Regions from separate parts of the Mus musculus genome. Here regions 1 and 2 are each reported to be linked to region 3. Evidence: microRNA targets listed by miRTarBase, many of them from high-throughput screens and not tested one by one. Region 3 holds a microRNA gene; each other region holds the end of a gene's coding sequence.

Region 1 (7,299 bases), not on the chromosome of region 3:
CCTTTCTTCTACAAGTTGCTTTTGGTCACGGTGTTTTATCACAGCAATAGAAACTGTAACTAAGACCAAGTTTGAGACCAGTCTGGACTACATGCAACCTTTTCTTAAAAAAATAAAAATAAAAATAAAAATAAATAAAAAGAGACCTGTGGAATAGAGGCAACTATGTCTTGACTCTGGTCTCTTGGTGAACACTGGAGTCCATACAAAGAGAGAGCTGGGTGTAGTGTCATGCCTGGCACTCAGGAGGCCAAGGCAGGGGGTCTTGAGTTCAGGGTGCTACAGAGCAAGATCCTGACTCCATAAGAGAAAAACAAGCATTCAGCAAAACAAACAAACAAACAAACAAACAAACAAACAAACAAACACAAGAAACCCCAGCCCTTTAAAGGGCTGAGCACCTCCAAGCCTGGCAGGCCGGACACTGGACACATGGCATGAGGTGAGGTCCTTGCTCTCATGGAGGTCAGATTTTTTTTTTTTTTTTGAGTTCTCAATTGCAATCCCTTCCTGACCTTACACTTGCCCACTGGCTGTCCATCTTCCCATTCTGCTGTCATCCCTCTCTTCTTTCCATAGATGCCTTACAAAGGTTTGTATGCTTTAAATAGTCCAGAGCCTCATTCAGGTTACTATTTTGAGTCTGTGTCAATTCCAGGCCAGCTGGTTCTGTCCATTCATTTCCTTGCCCAGCCCTCTCCTTCCCACTGCCCCTGCCAGTATTTGTTGGCTCTTCAGTTTGGCCACTGGAAGCGAAGGGGGCATGCGAAGTGACATGAGCAGAGTGACCCTGGTCAATGAAAAGCCTGTTCCCACACTCGTTACACAGAGCTTGACTCACCCTCCTCTCTGTTGCAGGTCAGAGATGCGGTCAAGGCGGTAGGCATCGCTGGAGTGGGCTTGGCGGCCTTGGGCCTCGTTGGAGTCATGCTCTCCAGAAACAAGAAACAGAAGCAATGAGCTGAATGACTGCCCAGTTTTTGGGCTCTTCTTTTGCTAGAGGGTTTGGAGTTTGATTTATAGATTCTATTGCTTTATAATTAGGTTTATTTTCACAACATACAATAAACCACAAGAAAGGAATTTTTGTGAGGATACTGCAGTAGCTACCTGGTGTGAAGTCTCTGGAGGGAAGCTCGGGGCTCTGTTCTGGATAACAGTCTTTCCTGGCTGGCCTTTCTGTTTGCTGTGGTACCCTTTGTATTGCAGAAAACAGAGTCCAACACTGTTATCTCAAGTGAAGCGCATTACTGCGTGCCAGATACTATGGTATGCCAAAGGAGACAGCCTGGGTACACAGAAATGGAAACATCAGATAGCCAGGGATCTTGGCCTAGAACTTGTTTCAACGTGGCGCTTTGAGACTCAGGCGCTGGAGTTTATGGATATTCAGTGGTGTGAGAAGGACAAATCCTGGAGTGTTGGGGCTTTAGCTCAGTGATAGAGTGCTTTCCTGGCGAGCATGCAGTTTTAGGTTCAATCCCTCGTGTCATCCTAAAACCTTCCGATTTCCTTCTGCAGTACAGCTCTGTTCTAGTCAGGTTTCTATTGCTAAGATAAAGACTTGAAACCCCTTGGGGGAGGAAATGGTTTATTGGCTTACATATCCCTGGCCACAGTCCATTGAGAGACGCTCAAAGGAACTCAAGGCAGGAACCGAAGCAGAAACCATGATGGGTGCTGCTTATTGGCTTGCTCGCCGTGACATACATCTTGTCTGTTGGAGCCCTGGTCAGGATTGAAACGTTGCTCTGTAAAAGCTTTCTCCCGACTTATGCGCATCTTGCACAGAATACACATGTGCTCGCTGAGTTCCAGCACTGAGAGAATAGTTTTCTTTGGCTCAGGTTCCTTAGGGCTTCACGTCAGTGCTCAAGGTCCCCAAACCCAAAGGACCTAGACCTAAGTTCAAAGGGCAGGTGTCCCGATGCTCACCCTCCCACACAATATTCATAATATTTAGATAATATTAATTTATACCTAAACTAATAGTGAGTGGGGCAAGAGAAAGAAGGAGAAAAAACAAATACAAGAGAACTAAATGAAACTTAACTGTCAAATGAGGAAAAGCAATCTGGGGCCGTGGAGAGGGCTCAGAAAGTGGAGCTGTTTGCTGCCAATTCTGTGGACCCGAGTTTAGTCCATGGGATGCACACAGTGGAAGGAACAAGCCAACTCCCAAAAGTTGTCTCCTGACCTCCACTTATGTACCATAATATTGGTGCACATATATCTGCATGCAATACATAAGTAAGCACTATAAAAAGTTTTTAAAAACTGGAAGAAAATACAGACTTTAAGGCAAAAATAATTTACTACACAGAGATTGTGTGTAGTATATAATTGAACAAAATGATTACTACACAGAGATAATAAAACAATCTTGATTAAAGTTTCAACTCAATTAAAGTATATACTAATTCTAAATTCATTTGCATTTAATAGTCTCAAAGTAGATCGTGAATTCTTGGCCAGTAAATTGACAATTTACCATTGTAGTCGGAGATCAAAATGTTATGGGGTCTGCTTAAATCCAACTCGACTCAAACACCAGATCAATGCAAAGGACAAAACTGTGTCGTGACCAAGCTGCTACTGATTGACCAGGGCTGCAGGACAGACTTGGGAGCTGAACTGTGACCTGGAGCCAGAGTGCTACAGAGCTTTAAAGCTTGAAAATCACCAACATCTGGGCCAAGTTACAGTTACATTTTCCACCAATCAGGATTTAGGGACAGTGGATTTCCTTAGGAACTTGTCTTTGTGCTACACTTATCCTGTTCCCATTGGTTGGGCTATTCAACTATGGCAGGACCACTAACCTAACATTCATGTCTGAACTTGTCAACCAGGATGTCAGTTACCTATGTGTATCTCTCTCTGCCAAACAGGATGACAGGCACCCAGTACCCAGTACCCAGGGAGGTCTTGGGAACTTAAATTTTATTTGACTCCTATTTAAAATGAAAGTTTTACTTAAAATGGCTTCATTTTGGTTCCTTCTTAGAAAAATAAATATTTTTTGAGGCTGGAAAGATGGCTTAGTGGTTATGAGCACTGGCTGCTTTTCCAGGGAGCCTGAGTTTTGTTTCCCAACACACGTGGTTCTTCACAACCATCTGTAACTTCAGCTCCAGAGGATCCAGCAACTTTTTCTACCCTCCACCAGCACTGCACACACAGACATACGTGCAGGCAAAGCACCCACACACATATAAAAACTAAAAAAAAGTATAACTTCTAGGACCTGGTAAAGCAACATAAAGATGTAGAAAAGTTTAAAAAGTTGTCAAGAAACAGTTTCAATAGACATGCAGTATAAGTGTGAGACACAAAGTCTAACGACATACATAACACATTTATAAAAAATTGATGATATACTAGTACAGTGGTTTGAACAAGAACGGCCTCCATAGGCTCAGACAGGATTTCTCTGTGTACCGTTGGCTGTCCTGGAACTTGCTCTGTAGGCCAGGCTGGCTCTGAGCTCACAGAGATCTGCCTGTTTCTGCCTCCTGAGTGCTAGGATTAAGGCCTGCGCTACTTCTACCTGGCTCTTACATTTTAATGCTTGGTTATCAAAGAGTAGCACTACTTTAGAGGGATTTGGAGGTGTGGCCTCGTTGGAGGAAGCGTGTCACTGGGAGTGGGCTTTAAAGGTTCAAAAGCTCAACCAAGCCCAGTGTTGCTCTCTTCCTGCTGCCTATGGATCAAGATGTAGAGCTCTCAGCTATCTCTTCAGCACCATGTCTGCCTGTATGCTGCCATGCTTTGGGCATGATAACAATGGACTAGACCTTCAAACTGTAAGCCAGCCCCAATTAAATGTTTTCCTGTATAAGAGTTGCTGTAGTCATGGTGTCTCTTCACAGGAATAGAACACCCGGTGTCTTGGTGTTACAAATGGCTGGCAGGGGTGAGCTGGGGTGGGGGTGCCTCTTTTGTTCTTTCATGATAGAAATCACAGAGAGGCAAGATCCAACTCTTAATGTTGGGGATCCTTAGATTCAGAGGGTGAATTTCCAAGCCCAGAGGCAGATAGTTCTAATCTCTGAGAAGCAGAAGCTTAGGATTGCAAGCTTTCAGAGCCAGAGACTTGCTGTTCTCAGTAGAGGGTCACTGCTAGAGAGTCACTGCTGTGGGCTCAGTGGGCCACAGCCAGCTGTGGTACAGCTTCTGAGTGTCAGGACTTATGGCTTGTTTGTCTCTGTTGGTTCCACCAAACTTTGTAGCAGTTAGGAAAGATCTCATAGGCTCAGCTTCCACAAATCAAAATCACTCATCTTTCACAATAGCTTCAGCTTCTTTGATGTCCCTTGCCCTTTCAACACTTCTACCATCTGGATCTGCCTTTTTTTTTTTTTTTTTTTTTTTTAAGACAGAGTCTCACTATATAATCCTGGCTGGCTTTGAACTTACAGAGATCTGCTCTCCTCTGCCCCCCAAATGCTGGGATTAAAGGTGTGCACCACCCTGACCAGCTGTCTCTGGCATTTTTTTTTTTTTTTAAAGATTTATTTATTTATTATATGTAAGTACACTGTAGCTGTCTTCAGACACTCCAGAAGAGGGCGCCAGATCTCGTTACGGATGGTTGTGAGCCACCATGTGGTTGCTGGGATTTGAACTCAGGACCTTCAGAAGAGCAGTCAGTACTCTTACCCGCTGAGCCATCTCGCCAGCCCTGTCTCTGGCATTTTGAAGTTTCTGTTTTCACTGGGACTCTCCAAACCCTTCTGCGCCCTGGCATCAGATCTCAGAACTTTAGGTGTCAGAGCCCTAAGGTCAGCTGCCTGGTGTATTTCTCTAGCCACAGGTATGAGAGACCTCTCTCTATTCCTGTGACTCCACAGGGTTCTTCAGCTGCCTTCATACAGTGGTGGCTGTTGATGTCACTGGAAGCCCCAGCGTTCTGCTTGTTTTTGTAGCCAGTCCAGCTTTCATTCCGTGTTAAAGACCACAAATAGACAAAAAGCCTATCCTGGAGACTTATGGAAGAAAGAAAGGCCTCCTAACTATCCTGAAAAAAAACAGGAAAACAAGCTATTTTTGTAGACAGAAAAGGGGCAAGGCACATTTGTGGATGCTTCAAAATTCCCATCCATCACTTAATGGTACCTAGTTCCAATCACTGGCCCTGTATAAGGACCAATCACAAGATTTCTGGGAGTTCTCTGGAACAAGGCCTCCTGCAGTGGCAGCTGTACCTCTCATAACTGGAGTGCAGTTACTTCAAGTCACCGTATGCCTGGCTGCCATAGTGTGGTGACTAGTCACCCAGAGAGGTGTTGCTTGGTTGACCACATACCATCCAGAGTAGCTGGTACAGGGAAGTATCTGGCATTTGCCAATTAAAGGGTAAAATATGCCAGGCTGCCAACAGTCTAGCTTATCTGAAAGAAAAGTACACATGAATGGTGCTTACAATAGCAGCTTATAACTAACAACATTCCTAGCAGTATTTGACAGTGTCTCAGATCATAGCTCAATACTTTATAGAATGTTAGGTTATGCTGTGTCTTGGATTGGTAACATGGTTTAGAAGGTAAAGGCCCCTGCTCCCAAGCCTGTGGACTTGAATTCAGTCCCTGGGACTGTTGCATAACAGTCTCCTTCGAAACTGGAACACTCCTTCCCGCAGGGAAGCATTTTAAGCAGGGAGGTCAACTATTTAAAATAGCTTCAGGAAGTTCCTGAAACTGATCAGGCTCACTAGGTCCCTCTCCCCCAGAGTAGGCAATAAAACTGCTGAGAGTCACTCTCAAACAAGCCAAGGTGCAAAGAGGGTTCTGACAAGCAAAGCTAGAGAGACTGAGATCAGACCAGCTGCCTGGAAGAAGCAGAAACCAGCTGAGCTGCCCGGAAGGGGTTTAGACAAACCGAATCACTTGGAAAGGATATTTTTCAACCTGGTGAACTGCTTTCAGGCTGTGGAGTGAGCTCCAGGTTCCCAGCTTTTGTGAGCTATCACCTATGCTGAGGTGGGCCTTGGTGATGCAGCTGTCACTGGGTCATTTCTGCTCCTCTAAGTAACCTTTCACCCATATTCCTATAATTGGTTCACTAAGTTGGACTTCAGTGGTATCTGTACTTTGGTCTGCTGTGGTCTCCCTATCTGGGATGAGTAGACATGTGCATCTCCCCAGGAAAATTTTTGATGCACAGCAGGAACCTATGCAATGAGAGGAGAAAACTGACTCCCAAAAGTTGCCCACTGACTTGCACTTGTGTGTCAGGGCAACAGACCCACAGATTGTCAGAAGCTCTAGAGTTGTAGTCACAGATGGTAGTGACACCTCCCCCAACACACATGGGTTCTGGGGAACAAAACTGCAAGAGCAGTAAGTGCTCCTGACCCCCCCACCCCCTGAGCCATCTCTCTATTCCCTGTATACAGCATTTTAAAGGGGGTTGAATTTGAATTTCTTTTGGGGATAGCTCCTATGTGGGCCAAAGGTTTTTTTGTTTTTGTTTTGGGTAGACTTTTATGTAGTCCCAGTGGGCATCCAACTCATTATGTAGCTGAGGATGTCCTTAACCCTTTCTGAGCCTCCTACATCTACCTCTCAAACACTGGGATTATAGGTGCTATTATGCTTTGTTTGGGGGACTAAGGGATGGCCCCAGGGCTTCAAGCATGCTATAGATCACTCTACCTACTGTGCGACATCCCTGACCCAATTAAGCTTGTTTTCAATCAGATGCACAAGGCTACTTTCTATATCCACTTAATTATTTATTTTTACATCTATTTATGTGTGTGTTTGTGTGTGTATGTCTGTGTGTGTGTGTGTGTGTGTGTGTGTAACATCTTGGGGTTCCTGTGAAGGTCAGAGGACAATTTTTGAGAGTTGGTTTTCTGACTTTGTTAGTTATTTGTCTTGATGCTGGGACAAAATACTTGACAAAAGCAACCGGGAATACAGTATACGGTCGCTGACGGTTTGGCAGCAGGAGCAGGAGGAGACTGGTCCTATTCTGTCCACAGTGAGAAACCAGAGTGAGAGATCTCCCTGCTTTAGCTCATTTTCTTATTCTAATTCAGTCTGGGACCTTGTCCATGGAATGGTGTCTGCTACATTTAGGTTTTTTTTTTTTTTTCACTTCAATTAATCTAATCTCGATAATCCCTCACACACAAGCCCAGAGACTTGTTTCCATGGTGATGCTATATTCCATCCATCAAATCCCCCAAACAAGACTAACCACCATATCAACCATAACACCGCTATTTATAAAATAAAATGTTTCAATCCAAGTTATTTTTATTTATTTGTTTTTGTGGTTGCAGGAACAAAC
Region 2 (7,299 bases), not on the chromosome of region 3:
TCGGCACTCATGTGTTCCACAATACACACGTGCAGGGAAAACCCTAAATACATAAGATAAATCTTCAATTTTTCCTAACTCTAACTCTAAGAAAGAAATCTGTTTTGTTTGTTTGTTTGTTTTGGGGGTTTTGTTGGTTGGTTGGCTTATTTTGTTTTTTTAAGACAGGATTTCTCTGTGTAGCCCTGGCTGTCCTGGAACTCACTCTGTAGACCAGCCAGGCCTCAAACTCAGAGTTCCTCCTGCCTCTGCCTTCCATGTGCTGGGGTTAAAAGCCTGTACCACCATCACTAGTAATAAATTAATTTAAAATAAAATAAGAAAGACATACAGACTTGAGAGCACCAGGCTCAGTGGTAGGGCTCACATTTGGTGTACCACAGGCACTGGCTTCAATCTCTAGTTCCAGAGACCGGGGAAATCACGAGGATATTGAGGTGGAATAGGCCTGTGATCTAGAATTCCTGAGGTACAAGCAAGATCACTGCAAGTTCAGGAGTAACCTCCCTAGTAAGTTCCAAGTCAGCCAGGGCGTTAGAATGAGCGTACAGTGAGATCTTACGTCAAGCCTGCACAACTTAGACTTTTTCTCAGAAATAAAAACAAAAGAAGAAGGCTGACATAGTTCAGTAGTAAAACCTGTGCTTAGTGTGAGCCCTGGGGTTTAGTTCTCTCCATCCTGTCCCCCAAAGAATGACCCTCGAAACATCCTGATCCAGCTGTCCACTGACTGTGATGTTCTTCTGCAGGGAAGTTGACAGACATCCATGGGAATGCCCTGCAGTACAACAAGGAGGTGAAACATATGAACTCTGCCGGTGTCCTGGCTGCACTGAGGAACTACGAGTACTATGCAAGCCATGTTCCAGAGTCGGTCAAAAATGCGCTCATTCCATGAAGGGGTCTCACTTACCCAGAGGCCTTGGTTCAAAGGAACACATCTTAATACTGATTACTAATTGAACAATTGGAGCTCTGCCTGCATTTATCATTGATCAGCGATTTATTAGTAGTTAGGGATAGAAGATGGAATTAAAGAATTTTCTTCACATCATCTAATACGCTTAAGACTTAAGTATATGATACGATTGTCATTTCTCCTGCCTAAAAACAAATTAGCCAGGTGTGGTGGCACTTACAATAGTCATAGCTACTCCAGTGGTTGAATCAGAGGATTGCTTGAGCCTAGCCTCCATTACATAGCAAGATATGCCTAAACACAGAGAAGGAAAACAAAAAAGGAATTTAATTTTACTAATTAGCTAACAGGACCAGTTGTTTTTTTTTGTTTTTTTGTTTTTTTTTTTTTCCTTTCTCTTGTTGTTTGGGCTTTTTGTTTGTTTGCTTGTTTGTGGGTTTTGTTTTGTTTGTTTATTTTTTTGTTTTTTGTTTTTGTTTTCAAGACAGGGTTTCTCTGTGTAGCCCTGGCTGTCCTGGAACTCACTTTGTAGACCAGGCTGGCCTTGAACTCAGAAATCCGCCTGCCTCTGCCTCCCGAGTGCTGGGATTAAAGGCGTGTGCCACCACCGGCCGGCATTGTTTTTGTTTTTTTGAGACAGGGTTTCTCTGTGCAGCCCCAGCTGTCCTGGAACTCACTCTGTAGACAAAGTTGGCCTTGCACTCAGAGATTCCCCTGCCTCTGCCTCCTTAGTGCAGGGATTAAGGGCTTGCCCCACCACACCTGGCTCAAATGTTACTATTTCTAAGTGAAGAAATGAAAAAGGGTTAGTTTCAAATGACTGTCCAAGTCATTTGTGCAGTCAACATTCCTGCTGATAAACCAGATTTCTTCAGGGCACAGAGTCTTAAGTTACTCCAGAATTTCAGTTGTTTTGTTTTTTCACAGTAATTTTTAAAATTTCTGATTCCAAATAAGAATGCATATAATGATATTATTTATGTTGATTTATGGGGGAAAGTTTCTCTAAAATACATAGTCCTATCTTTTCATATTATATATCAGATTTTTTTCAAAAGTATTTGAAAATTATAAATAATGTGAGGATTAATTTATTCTCTTGTTATTAAAATCTATAATTGGAAAGCTGGGTAATTGCCTTTATTCCTTCCCCTGAGAGAATGTACAATCAGTTTGATTGTCACCTTCAGTAGACTGAGAAGCCCTACCTACATCAGGAAACAGGGCTCCCAGGAAGGATGAGCTGAGCTGGAAATGTAGGCGGCACTATCGCCTATGCTGGAGCCTGGATGGAATGAAAGGGGACAGAGAAAGCCAAGTGCCACGGGTTCTGTTTCTGCTGTCTGGTTGCCGTAAGGTGAGCTGCTTTGTCCACCATCCCTCCTGGCAGCCCCACCCCTAACCTTCTTGAAATCTTTCCCTCTGGCACTTGTCACAGCAACACAAGAGTCTTCTTTAAATGTGATGTTCACAAATCTTTGGGTATTTCATTCAGGCAAAGGTCTGTGCCGATCATAATTGCCATTCCTTCCCACAACCACGTTCACACGCCTGTAACCTCTCCCAGACCCACTCCACCTCTTACCACTTCCCAGCCTCTTTTCCTTTTCTTACAGTAACGACCAAGTCTAGTTTCTGCTGTCCATGTTCTCTGGTAAGTGGTCATCCACTGAGTGTAGTCGGCCTACCAGAAGCTGCACCCTTAAAGAAAGCTAGCTTTTACTCCTACAGAAGCTATCAATGTCAGCATGCCGTGAGATGGTGGTAGATGCCCCTCCCCTGCCAAGCTGGAATGTTAACAGGCTTGATCTTGGTTTTGGTGGGGTCTTAGGCAACCTCAGCTGCTGTGAGCTCATGAGTGTAGCGGTCATGTTTGACCCTGATTCTCCCTGACCTCTGACTGTTCCAATCCTTAACAGAAGCCCTAATACACTCTCCTACTTTAATGTTTTTTTTTTTTCACTTTTTTTTTCCAGTTGTGGATATTGAATCCAGGGCTTTGTACATACCAGTCCAATGTTCTACCAACTAAACTATATCCTCCCCCCATGGCTTTTTTTTTTTTTTTTACTGTTTTGGTCTCTGTCTGTTCTTTTGGATGAAGCAAGTAGAATGCACACTCAGAATGTTTAAGGCCCTGGGTTTAATTACTAGAGCAGCAGTCTCCAAAACAACTGCATGACAGATTCACCTGAAAAATTTTTTTCAATGCACTAATTCTGATTGATTGATTGATTGATTGATTGGTTGATTGGTTGATTTTGCTTTCAGAAAGCTGCTTTTGGGGCTGGAGAGATAGTTCAGAGGTTTAAGAGCACTGACTGCTCTTCCATAGGTCCTGAGTTCAATTCCCAACAACCACATGGTGGCTCACAACCATCTGTAACAAGATCTGGTACCCTCTTCTGTTGTGTCTGAAGAAAATGACACTGTACTCACATACATAAAATAAATAAATCTTTAAACCAAAAAAAAAGGCTACATTGGGCATGTGGCTTTGCCTGTGATTGCAATAACTTAGGAAGGATACAGGAGGATGAAGAGTTCAAGTCTAAGTAATACAGGGAGACACTGTTCTTTAAAAAAAGGGGGTGGGGCTGGACAGATAGGTTAGGGGTTAAGAGTCCTTGTTGCTCTAGAGAGGATCTGGATTTGGTTCCCAGCACACATTAAGAGGCAGCTCACTATCTCCTGCAACTCCAGTTCCAGAGGGTTTGACACCCTCCCTCCCTTTAAGGCACCTGCACACATGTCACACATAACTTATGCAGGCATGCATACATACACAAAAATTAAAAGTAATTACATTTTATGCTGATCTTGGGATAATTACTGTATTGCTCACTGGGATTACATCCATGGCTTTTTTATAGGACTGTCAGGATCTAGTAACAGGAAGGCATATCTGTGGCTTCGAAGGATTTGATCACTCCCTCTCGTAACTCCTGATTTTCGTTCTCTCCCTTCTAGCTGCTTGCCCTCAGTCATTTTGCTCTCTCCTTGTCTTCCTTCCCTCAGATGTCACTGTTGGCTGAGGTTGTACTCCTGGCTTTCCACTTTCTCAGTAGATTATCTGATACCTCCAAATAAACGACTTCACATAAGGTCTTTGCCCAGACGTACAAATGTAGAGCTCAACGAATTCTCAGTAGCTTATGCTCGACTTAGAGTGCTGAAGATTCTGTGAGACCAACTCTGGCAACAATATCATCCTGCCTGAAACTAACAACAATAAACACACAATATGTATTTGGATTAAAATGCTCAAACTCTAAGCCTAGTATGGTGGTACACATTTGCCATCTTGGTACACCAGAGGCTGAAGCAGGAGGATTCTAAGACTGAGGCCCACTTTTGCTATGTTGTAAGAACCTGCCTCAAACATACAACAAAACTGACAAGCTAGACCTCCACTCTTAAGGCCTACTTTGATGTCTTATAGTCTCCCCTCCCCCACGTTGTTTCTAAACAGTCCTTCTGTCTTGCTCCCACTCTAATTTGACAAAACCACATGTTTTGTAACTCCACCACATCTGATCATCACTGCTTCATTCTATTTTGTTTTCATTTATTTTCTTTCTTGCTGGCATACAGTTCTATGAACAGTGAGATAAACTGAGTTTTTAGAAATGGGGGGGGGGCACTGTGGGGATGGCTCAGTGATAAAGAAGACTTCCTGGTTTGCTGAGATCTCGAGTTCACTTCCCAGCACACACCAGGTGATTCACATCCACCTATAACTCCAGCTCCAGGAGGTTGGATGCCCTCATATACCTCCAGGGTTACACACAGAAAAATAAACAAATTTAAAAGTTGTTTTTTTATTTTAAATTATGTATGTGTGGTTTGTATGTGTGAGGCCAATGCCCTGGAGGCCTGAAGAGGGTGCTGGAGTTAGAGATGGTGGTGAGCTGCCTGTGGTAACCCTGGTAACAGCAAGTGCTCTTTTTATTTATGTTTGTTGGTATTTTGCCAGCATGTATATCTGTGCACATGTATGTGCATGTATATCTGTGCACATGTATGTGCATCTAATGCCTGCAGGGGCCAGAGAAGGTATGGGATTCTTTCCTAGTTTTATGTCAACTTAACAGAAGCTAGAATCATTTTGGAAAAGGAATGTTTCCACCAGATTGGCCTGTGGTGCATTTTCTTGACTGATGATTGACGTGGGAGGGCCCAGCTCTGTATTCAGTGACATTCCTGAGATGGTGGTCCTGGGTACTATAAGAAAACAGGCTGAGCCAGCCCTGAAGAGCAACCCAGTAAATAGCGCCCCTCCATGGCTTCTATATCAGGTTCCTGCCTCCAGGTTCCTGCTTGAATCCCTGCTCCTACTCAGCTGCAGTGATGGACTGTTATCTGGAAGTGTGAGATAAAATAAGCCTGCCCCCATCCCAAGTTGCTTTTGGCCATAGTGTTTTATGAGAGCAACAGAATTTCTAACTAAGACACCCTGCAATCTGAGTTATATATGTTTGTGAGCCACCATGTAGGTTCCAGGAATTAAACCAGAATCCTCTGTGAGAGCAGCCACTGTTCTTAACTGCTGAGACACTCCTTATCCCCACCCCCTAAGTAAACATTTTAAAGTAGCTCAGTGGTGATTTCCCCAGCATGCATCAGGGCTTCGGATACAGGATTGGGGAAACGCCTCATTTTTGTGACATAACCCATTTTCTGCAGTTTGTTTGTTTGGTTTTTTTGGTTGGTTGGGTTTTTTTTTTTTTTTTTTTTTTTTTTTTTTTTTTTTTTTTTTTTGTAAATAGAGTTCTTTAGTTATTTCAGGTCAATCCTTGTGATAGATAGGTAGATATAGAGATTCTGCCTCAGACGATCAAACCAACAAATAAGTATAGTAATGGTTAAAAGACAAGAACTTCAAGAAAGACTTCAGGACTCAGTGTTTAGTATCTTAAGAGTAGAACACTTGCAGAGCCTTGGCTAGATTGCTCAGATGCAAAACCAAAAGCACACTGCTGCCCTAATATTTGTCCTGTTTCCGGGTGTATAAGTAGGCATCTTTCAGGGGGGTTTCTAATCCAAATTCTCTGTGATGCATGTGTTTGCCCAGGGCATTTTCCAAAAGTTCAAGTTCAAGGTGCAGGCGAGATTTCAGAAGCAGTACATATTTACCCTTACCTTCCAATAGCCTCAGGAATGTGCCAATGTTTTCATGTAACTATAGGGTAGCTATTTCTTTGGGTCCCTGCCTCTGAACCAGCATTTATACACAGCCATTTTGCAGCCGGCAAGGTACTTCTATTACAAAGGAATGAAAGAAGGCACCAGCCAGTGCACTTAATGCCATTTTGTTTCTTCTCTGACTCAATCCCCTACCCCCAGTCATACTCTTCTCTAATTACCTTGGATTCCAGAAATGACAAGACAAGTCTATCATGAAGACCTCCTCAGAGGCAGCCACTATGATTCAAAGTTGGAGTTTACTATGTGATTTTTTTTTTTTTTAAAGCATGGGAGTTGACAGGTGCTCCAAAGAGGACGCATACCACAGTCACACTTCATGGTCTTAGCAAGAACACTGAAGTTATTATTTTTAAAGGTTATTAAGGAATTTGGTCATGGGCTGTTCCTGAATTGTTCTTTTGTTTCCACTGTGAACACAAGTTAACTGTTGTGAGGTTCGCAGACCATCCTTAAGCTCACATACGCGTAGGCCTCCAGCCTGAATTATTATTATTGGTTTTTTGAGACAGGGTTTCTCTGTATAGCCTGAATTATTATTAACCCTCTCATTTGAAGATGCTTCTCTCTAAAACAGACAAACAAAACCCCCAAACATTGTCAATATTGGCAGGCTTCACTACAGATAGTAACATCTGGAAATCTTGATTCTCAGGGCCAGGAGGCCCAGCAAGCAGGTCCTTTTTCTCTTTGTCCCCATAGTTTTCTGTATTTCTAGCTTGCCTCCTAGATGCTGGGACGTGCACCACACCAAACAATCCTGAAAATATTTCCTTTTAGAGAAGACTGAAGGGAAGCTCCCTTATACCCAGTGTAGCTCGTCGACTTTGTGCATGGATGTGCCACTGCCCCAGAATGGACTAGTCTATCGTCCGCCTGCTTCCCTCACTTTCCGATGGGTCTTAACGGCTGTTCCTTTTCCACAACGGAGTGGCACCTCACGGGTGCCCAGTCCTGCTGCCAAGAGGCAACTGGAGCGTGCGGTTAAGGTGGAGGCGACGCACGGCGATTACGTTCAATAGCGTTCGCCAGACGTCAGTATCCGCGGGCCGGGGACGGGAGAGAGGCTGAAATGTCGTGGGCGCGCAGCGATGACGCACAGAGTAGCCTGCCTTGACCTCTCTGCAGTCGTGGCGCGTGGAGTGGGGCGGAGCGAAGGCTGCCTTGGCGGGCGC
Region 3 (7,870 bases):
GATGTATCATCCATAGCCCCCACACCTAAGTGACATTGAATCCTGCCTCCACCCCTGTCACCTGGAGTCTCTCTCCTCACTTACACAGCCACTGAGTCATGGACTTCTCAATTTGTGTGCTAGACCAAGTCTGTTACCCTCCCCTGTGACACTGAGTCCCCCTCCCCCCTCCCCTCAGTGTTCACCCTTGCTCTTCAGGCATGTAGAACCCCGCCTGCCCCTCTGGTTTTACCTAAAGCACAGCCCTCTTGCTCTCTTGAGGTCCTCTCCTCTTCATGGGTCATGTTGACCTCATGCTTGTGAATTGCATAGTCCCCTCCCCTTTTGTGTTTCACACCAATTCCCCCTCTGCCACCAGGTGTCACACCCATGCGTGTGTCATGCCGAGCCCCTTTTGTACCCATGTGCCACATGAAGCACTACCTTCCTGTGTGTCCTCCCCTGTGTCACTTTGAACCTCTCATCCCCATTTGTCATACCATGCTCCAGCCTATGTGCCTCAAACAGAAAAGATTCTCCATGCTTCTTACCATGAGCACAATCCACCTCTCCTGACACCTGGAGTCTTGCCTCCTTGTGTCTCTCTACTCCTGCCTCACATGCTCTTTTCCTGTGACACACTGAACCCCTTTCCTCTCACACAGACTCCCCTCGGTCACCTGTCACACCTTTCTCACAGAACCGTTCTCCTTCTGTTCATCACATGGGGTCATGCCACCTAGGTATCAAACTGGTCCTCACTGTGCTATCCTAAGTCTTTCCTTGGCCGTGTGTCCCACAGTTCCTCAATTCTCCTTTGTGTTAGGCTAAGTCCCTTTTCAACAGTGGCACTCAGAGTTATGAGCTCTCTACCCTCGCACAAGACATTTGTGTCTCTTTTCCAAGTGTTTCTCATCTAGACCCCATTACATGTCAAAACTTTCTACACCTATGTCACACACAGAGCCCCTCCCACCACCCATGAATCACAACAAGGGTCCTGAGTCACACTGCGTCTCATCTCTCCACGGGTATCACATTCAGCTCCACTCCCCTACCTGGGTCAGAGTAAGTTTCTCTTCCCTATCTTTACATGGTTTCCCACTACACCTGCTTTGTCTTGGACAGACCCCTCCCATCAGGCTGCACTTCCAAGACCCTCTGTGTTCATGTGTTAACATTTCTTATGTCTTATTGCTGGCCTCACACTGAGTCCTCTCCTCTTGTCATCCTGTGTTAGGGTTAGGCTATTGTCAGCCATGTGTCTTAAAGAGAAAATTCCATAATGGGGCACGCTTTGCCTAGCTCCACCCATATGTCCTGAAGAGCACCATTCCTCTACATGTGTCATGCTTAGCCTAACCCTTCCTACGTTCTGTATGCCCCCTCTCACACCTGTCGTGGTCACCTGAGTTCTACCCATGTGTCCTAGAGAGAGAACACCTCTCCCCACGTGTGTCATGCTTAGCCTAGCCCCACCCGTGTGCCCTGTGCACCCGAGCTTCATCCCACTTACTCCCCATTCACCTTAGGCCCCTCCCTGACTCTGAGCTCCTCCATCGTGAGAGGGCCCCTAAATCATGTGTCCCATAGCCCTCGTTCCTTTTAGTCACCACAAACCCTGCTGGTGCTCCAGATGCGGTACACGGAACTCTTCTCCTCTCGCTCTCTCTTCATGTTGGGAAGCCCCACCTCTGCACGCAGCACGTTGAGACATCCACCCCTTGCCTTGTGACATGGAGCGCTCTGCCTCTACACATACCACACTGTGACGTGCATGTCCTCCAGGTCACAAAGCAACTCATAGGTGTCACATCTAGTCCTTCTCCCCACTTGTGATGAACACTTTCCTTGACAGATGTCACACCGAGCCCCTATTTCCTCTATCAGAGCCCCTCCTCCTTATGTCCCACATGCAGCCCAGTCTCTTTCTCAGGAGTCATAGGCTCTCCTGTACAAGAGTCATACTGAGCCCCTCCTCTTTTTATGTGTCATGTTACCCCTCCTCTGCACATCACATTTACATTTTTTCTCCCCTGTACCATGGATTCTCTCCCCCATGTATAGCCTTGGACCACTCCCCATCCGCTAGATTTAATCCCTTAATCTCTCCATATGTTACTGACACCCCCCTGTGTAGGTAGGCATCATGGGATGTCCCTGTTCTTTTCTTTATGACATGAAGACCCCCTCTTTGCGTGGGATATCATATCCTTCATCTCTCCCTTGTGACATACGTCACCCTGAGACCCTCCTGCTTCCCGTGAGCCATGTCCCTATGCTCCCATACACATACATGTCCCTTTGCAACCCTCTTCTGCCCTGGATGATGTGCAGCTGTGTTCCACATGCTGCCCTGAGCCCCCCTTCTCTCTCTCCCCTGCCCCACTGACATCTGCAGCATCTTACCACAGCATTGAGCTGCCTTAACCCTTTGTCATTCACATGTCGTGTGCAGCTCCCTTCCTCCCTGGCTTAACACCGAGTCCTCCCTTCCCCACCTGTGTTCACCTGTCTTCTGGCCTCCCATCCTTACTACTCCCTCCCACCCCCATACTACCTCTTTATACCCTGCTCTCTGAGACTATGCTGGGACAAGTGTTTGTTGGCAGTTGGTGGGTGTGCCAGACAAGGAAGAGAAGAGCACAAGTCAGGAAAGATTTTTTTTTTTTACTTTATTCATATGTAAGGTGATACACATGTGCCATTCAAGCTGGCCATGGTGACAGAGGCCTGTCAATCATAGCCACACTTGGAAGCCTGAGGCAGGAAGATGGAGAAGTCGGGATCCACTCTGGATTACACAGATCCTGTTTCAAAAACAAACAAACAAACAAAAAAACTAACAGGCAAGCAAAAGCAGTTTGTGGTTTTTAGTTATTCATGGAGGAGTGTAACTCAAGTTGACACTCAAAGAACCTGGGGAGCGGTTGTTAGCTGTACCTGCAGTTTGTCCCCTCACCACACTGAGTAGCTTTTAACCCATGCATCTTTTTGGGGGATCCATCTGGGGCGTCTAAGCTCCTGCTGGTTCCCATGAGTCCCTTCTAGGTCTGCAGAGGAACCCACTGGATACTCGGGATGGACCTTAGCAGGACACTCCTGTGACCACAGTCACCCTTCCTTCCCTCTCCGCTTCCCCACCCCTCCTTCAGTGCTCCCTTGCCCCTCCTCTCTCCCTCCCATCCCTCTGCTCCCTCTCCCCCCTCCTCATCCCCTGGATTGGCTCCAGTCACTCCATGAGAGTTTATAAGAAGTGAGGTTGGGCAAGGAGGGTAGATGCTTCCACTGTGCTGCAGGTGCCCTAGGGCTGGCTGGCCTTTGGTTTCCTTCCTCTAACACTAAGCCCTGGGAGTCTGTCCTACCTGTTGTCTGTGCTTCTTGCCTTGCTTTTTCAGGAGAGGAGGGTCCCAGTGTAGTGAGAAGTTGGGGGGTGGGAACGGCGTCATGCAGGAGTTGATTGCACAGCCATTCAGCTCCTATATGATGCCTTTCTTCACCCCCTTCAACCGCGTGAGGCCTCCGGACCCTCCTCCGCGCACCTTGGGCCGCTTAGGGACGCGTCTTCAGCTCGCTCTTTTCCCCTGGCATGCTTTCTCGCCATTCTCCACAGTTCCTGGAGGGGAATACCCGGGGCTGGGCCATACCTGAGATCATTCCTTGGCGGGGGAGCTATACCCCTGGTGGGACATTCCCTGGGGCTGGGCCAAGGGTCACCCTCTGACTCTGTGGCCAAGGGTAGACAGGTCAGAGGTCGATCCTGGGCCTACTCTGGGGCTCCTCCCACTGGGATTCCAGGAGCCGTTCTCTCCTGGAGGTCCTCTGAGGGGACCCAGCTCCTAGCAGAAAGGGTGGATCCTTGAGAGATGGGGTCTTTGTTACTAGAGCAGGGCACAGGGCTGAGACAGGGCAGGGCTGAGCATTACCAGTGCTCCCAGAACAGGGTCTCCTTGAGGGGCCTCTGCCTCTATCCAGGATTATGTTTTTATGACCAGGAGGCTGAGGTCCCTTACAGGCGGCCTCTTACTCTCTCCTTGAGCCCTTCTGGAGACGTCTCACCTCATTCAGTTCAAACTCTGGATCCCCTAAGGAGTGCAGAAGATCCCTGTTCATCCTCCTCCCAGGCCGGGTGCCCACAGACACTTCAGTAGCACAATGAGCAGCTGGCGTAGAGTCTGAACCCCAATACCTAGGTCATTGCATGCATACAGGGCCCATCTCCATCCCCACAACACCACCATTATTAACTGCATTTACCAGCTATGGCAGCCAGCCCCGGCACACAGGAGCACCCTGAGTGAATAGCCTGGAAGCTGTGAAAGGATTTGAGGGCAGGACAGGGAGGACCCAGGCCACACCCAGTCCCCCTCCCCTTCACCACTGTCTCTCCCTTCCCTGTCCCCCCCTCTGCCCCCAATCTCCTTCTTCCTACTTGTGCTCCTGCACGGTCTTGGTGGCAAGATGGTCATGCGTGTCTCTCAGCTCACACAGGTGGATCAAAGTCCAGATGAGGTTTGCTGCTCAGGTCTCAGATCGTGTCTAACGATGTGGTCCCCTGGGCCCAGCACCAGGGCTTAAGGTGTATGGGACAGTTGAGGGGTGGGTAATATTTTCTTTTCCTTTTCTTACTATGGGGGTAGCCCAAGTTAGCCCAGGTTACCCAGGCATGTGGAGATCTCTGCTCCAGCCTGGTGAGGAGCTGGTAAAACTCTGGACTCAGGGTCCTGTGTGTGTGCTGTCACTGGCTCTGGTACCTGCAGGGACATCTTATAAGGGGAAGCAATGGAGAGGACAGGGAAGGTGGGCAAGGGAGGGCCCCTGCTCCTCTTTGTTCCTGGATGCTGTCAGAGCTCTCTGGTTGGGGACTGAAGCTGGGAAGTGGGGGCAGCTCCTTGGTGGGTGGAGTCTGCAGCCAGGGCCTGGCCTCTGGTTTTCACCTTGACAGGGTTGGAAGTGATGTTATCATCCCCTAGCAGGAACTTTCACACCAATTTCTTTCTTTTCTTTTCTCTTCCCCAGGAGAAAAAAAAAGGTTTGTGTTGTGTTTTTCAATCTCTATAAGTGGCTCCGCCGATAACCTGATAACCTACCGTTTTAGCACGTTTTAGCACGTCACCAGCTCTCTTCACAGTCCGGACCACCTCCTTTTGCTGTTAATGGGGACAAATCCCTGCTGGGTAGATTGGTAGGCCTGCGGGCCTTTATTGTCCTTTATGGTCTGTGTTCGTGCGGGCTGTGGGTAAACGCACCTCTGCAGTCAACATCACTGGCAGCCTCTTGGCGGGCTGCTGGCTCACTGAGTTCTCCTTCACTCTCACTTGCTTGGGGCCCTCAGGGCCTTGGGGCCCCTGGCAGTAGTCCTGACCTAAGTCATCTCTGCATTCACTGGGCCAGAGAAGTCCTCACCAAGCAGGGACAGGATTGTTTTGTTTTGTTTTGAGGCCCAGTTTTGTTGGAGGTGCCCAGGTAAACTAAGTGAGGGTACAGGACTGGTACGTTTGTTCTCCTCCAATAGGACCCCAGTCCCACCTTAAGGTTATGGACGCTCCTTAGGAACAGGAGGAAGTGCTGAGTGAGGCTGAGCCCCTGACCTTGAACCTGGGATCCTATCCATGATCTCCTGGTGCTACCGTCAGGGGTAGATTCCTTGTCATGAGGCCCCTTAGGACCCATAAGGACACAGTGACCCCAGTGCAGGCTGGAGGGGGCGTGGAGGGATGCAATCTTGCGTTCTAAGTAGGGTTTTTCTGGGACCCAAGCTTATAGATCCTGTATAGATGGGATCAAAGAGCTGAAAGCAGGTAGGGGGAGGTGTCATGCTGGGTATCCAGGGGTCTGACACATTCTCAGGCCAAAGAGGGCCCCTTGAGGTTAACTCAGGGGTACATTTCCAGGCAAGATATAAAGGGCAGAGTTAAGAAAGGGCCCTTGGGCGTGAGGGCCCTGCTCATTGCACCTGCCCACTATCTTTGAGGTCACAGTGGGAGGGGGCCCTTGTTTTTATACTCCTAGCTTGTGTGCAGATTTTCTGGGTAGGAAGTATAGAGTTTGTGAGTAAGGGACTATTTGCTCAATTTCCCTCTACCCCTAGGAGCTCCTTCCCCATCCCAGAGTATCCCTCAAGATAGCTTTTTTTAAGGCAAGGATCTCAGGGGCCAACTGTGGGAATGGTTCCAGTGGGGGGCCACTGGAGCCTCCTTAGCAACAGGAGGAAGTGCTGAGTGAGGCTGAGCCCCTGACCTTGAACCTGGGATCCTCCCCATGATCTTCTGGTGCTATGGTCAGGGGTAGATTCCTTGTCATGAGGCCCCTTAGGACCCATAAGGGCACAGTGACCCCAGTGCAGGCTGGAGGGGGCGTGGAGGGATGCAGTCTTGGGTTCTAAGAACTGTTTTTCTGGGATCCAAGCTCAAACATCCTGCCTGTTGACCCTCCTCAGCTGTGGGCATTGAGCACAGTCTGGCCATTCCTCATTTCTCATGTGACTAGAGGGCTGGGACCAGATGAGGGCTGGGAATTCTGGGTACCCTCCTTCTGCCCCATGAAACCCTTGGTCCATTTCCCAGAGGAGCCCAAAGTTTTGAGAGTGAATTGACTTCCCTCCCTTTAGGAGAAGACAGGAGGCCTGTTGCTCCATGTCTTCATGAGCTGTTTCTGGAGAGTCAAGCCCTCCTATCCCTGCCCCTCCCACCCTTGCCCTTGCCCATCCCAACCCTCTCTTCACACTCCATCCTTTCTGACCCCATGCTCCATGTTCTCCAGTCCTGCCTCCTACTATCCACCCTCTCCCTTTTAGAACAAACCACAAAGTCAGATAATCTTTTCTTCTCTTTATTCATGGGGCAAAAGCAGGTATGAGTTGGGAAAGCAATGGAAGGACCTCTCCTTCCTGTGGCAGTGAGCAGTGGGTCTGGTCAGAGCACTCTTGGCTCCTTGGCACAGTACTCTGGGTATCTGGGGCTTCACCAGTGTCTCTTGGGGGCTCCCTCCTTTATGGAAGGTCTCTGTCCCCTGCACTGTCCATATGTCCATTTGGGGAGGGAAAAGGGAGCCCCACTTGGTTGCTACCACCCTTTCTTGGGTCCTCTGAGTCTCAGGGACCTTCAGGGTGGATCAGTCCATCTGGTAAGTCACACTGGTACGTCGAATGCTCCTTGGAGCAGTTCTGCCCAGGTAAGATCAGAGTTCAGGGTCAGATGAGGTGTCAATGGAGCCGGACCAGACCGGTAGTGGGTGGGTGGGTTGTGGGGGGGGGGGTGGACTTGCTTGCAGGGTGGGCTGGGGTTGTGGAAAGCATGGAACCACAGCACCTTGGGAGACTGGGAGGGAGTAGGGGCGTGTCCAGGGGAGTCGGAGCACCGGTGTAGAGGTAGAAGTCCGTGGAGCACCCAAGGTCAGTGTCCCAGGATGCACAGGTGGCCGCCTGCCACTCAGGGGGTGGTGGTGGGGTCACTGGCATCTGCTTGCTTGGCTGCACCTGCTGTATCTGCTCTGCATCTGGCCTGGGGTGACGGGGTCACTGTTGCTCATCACTGCTCTCTCCTCATTGGTCTCACTCCCTTTTGTGGGCCTGGGGCCCGGACAGTTAGGACAGTTAGGGTTACACAGTCTTGGCTGGTTCTGGGACGCTGATAGTTGGCTAGTTCTTTAGCACAGATGATGTTGCTGGTTGATGAAGTTGTGGCCCTTCACAAGTGGGTTCCCCTTGGGTTAGGAGTAGCAAGAGGGTGTGCTGGATCTGAGCGAAGCTGGCCGAGGCACAAGGGAAAATGACAGTGACTTGGTGTGTTTTCAGTCAAGTTCATCATCTGAGTCTGATAGCTCTTCTAGCCTTGCCTGTTCCCTGGCTGGGGAAGGCAGCGCCATTCTGGAGGCCATGGCCAGGAATCGT

Evidence for each region. Region 3 holds the annotated microRNA mmu-miR-665-3p (ACCAGGAGGCUGAGGUCCCU, at 3,970-3,989, shown strand). A microRNA usually pairs through its seed, bases 2 to 8, with sites in the 3' UTR of a target mRNA and lowers its output. Matches are read on the target gene's strand: a 7mer-m8 pairs with bases 2 to 8, a 7mer-A1 pairs with bases 2 to 7 and ends in A, and an 8mer does both.
Region 1: miRTarBase lists Plaat3 as a target of mmu-miR-665-3p. Seed matches in the 3' UTR shown: 7mer-A1 at 1,412-1,418 and 7mer-A1 at 3,451-3,457.
Region 2: miRTarBase lists Bpnt1 as a target of mmu-miR-665-3p. Seed matches in the 3' UTR shown: 7mer-A1 at 1,432-1,438 and 7mer-A1 at 1,584-1,590.

What each region holds. Positions count from the first base shown.
Region 1 is chr19:7,584,707-7,592,005 of GRCm38, forward strand. It overlaps Plaat3 (phospholipase A and acyltransferase 3), which reads left to right. Exons shown (of 5, transcript NM_139269.2): 5 at 859-3,839. The coding sequence ends at 960. Among named protein-coding and RNA genes, the nearest start is that of Lgals12, 19 kb to the right of the region's middle.
Region 2 is chr1:185,355,729-185,363,027 of GRCm38, forward strand. It overlaps Bpnt1 (3'(2'), 5'-bisphosphate nucleotidase 1), which reads left to right. Exons shown (of 9, transcript NM_011794.3): 9 at 750-2,041. The coding sequence ends at 898. It also overlaps a transcript of Eprs not described here. Among named protein-coding and RNA genes, the nearest start is that of Eprs, 3.7 kb to the right of the region's middle.
Region 3 is chr12:109,582,399-109,590,268 of GRCm38, forward strand. It overlaps Mir665 (microRNA 665), which reads left to right and starts at 3,916; the gene lies at 3,916-4,009. It overlaps Rtl1 (retrotransposon Gaglike 1), which reads right to left. Exons shown (of 2, transcript NM_184109.2): 2 at 6,795-7,870. The coding sequence ends at 7,771. Mir337 (microRNA 337) reads left to right here and starts at 3,391; the gene lies at 3,391-3,487. It overlaps Mir3544 (microRNA 3544), which reads right to left and starts at 3,475; the gene lies at 3,415-3,475. It also overlaps Mir540, Mir3070a and Mir3070b.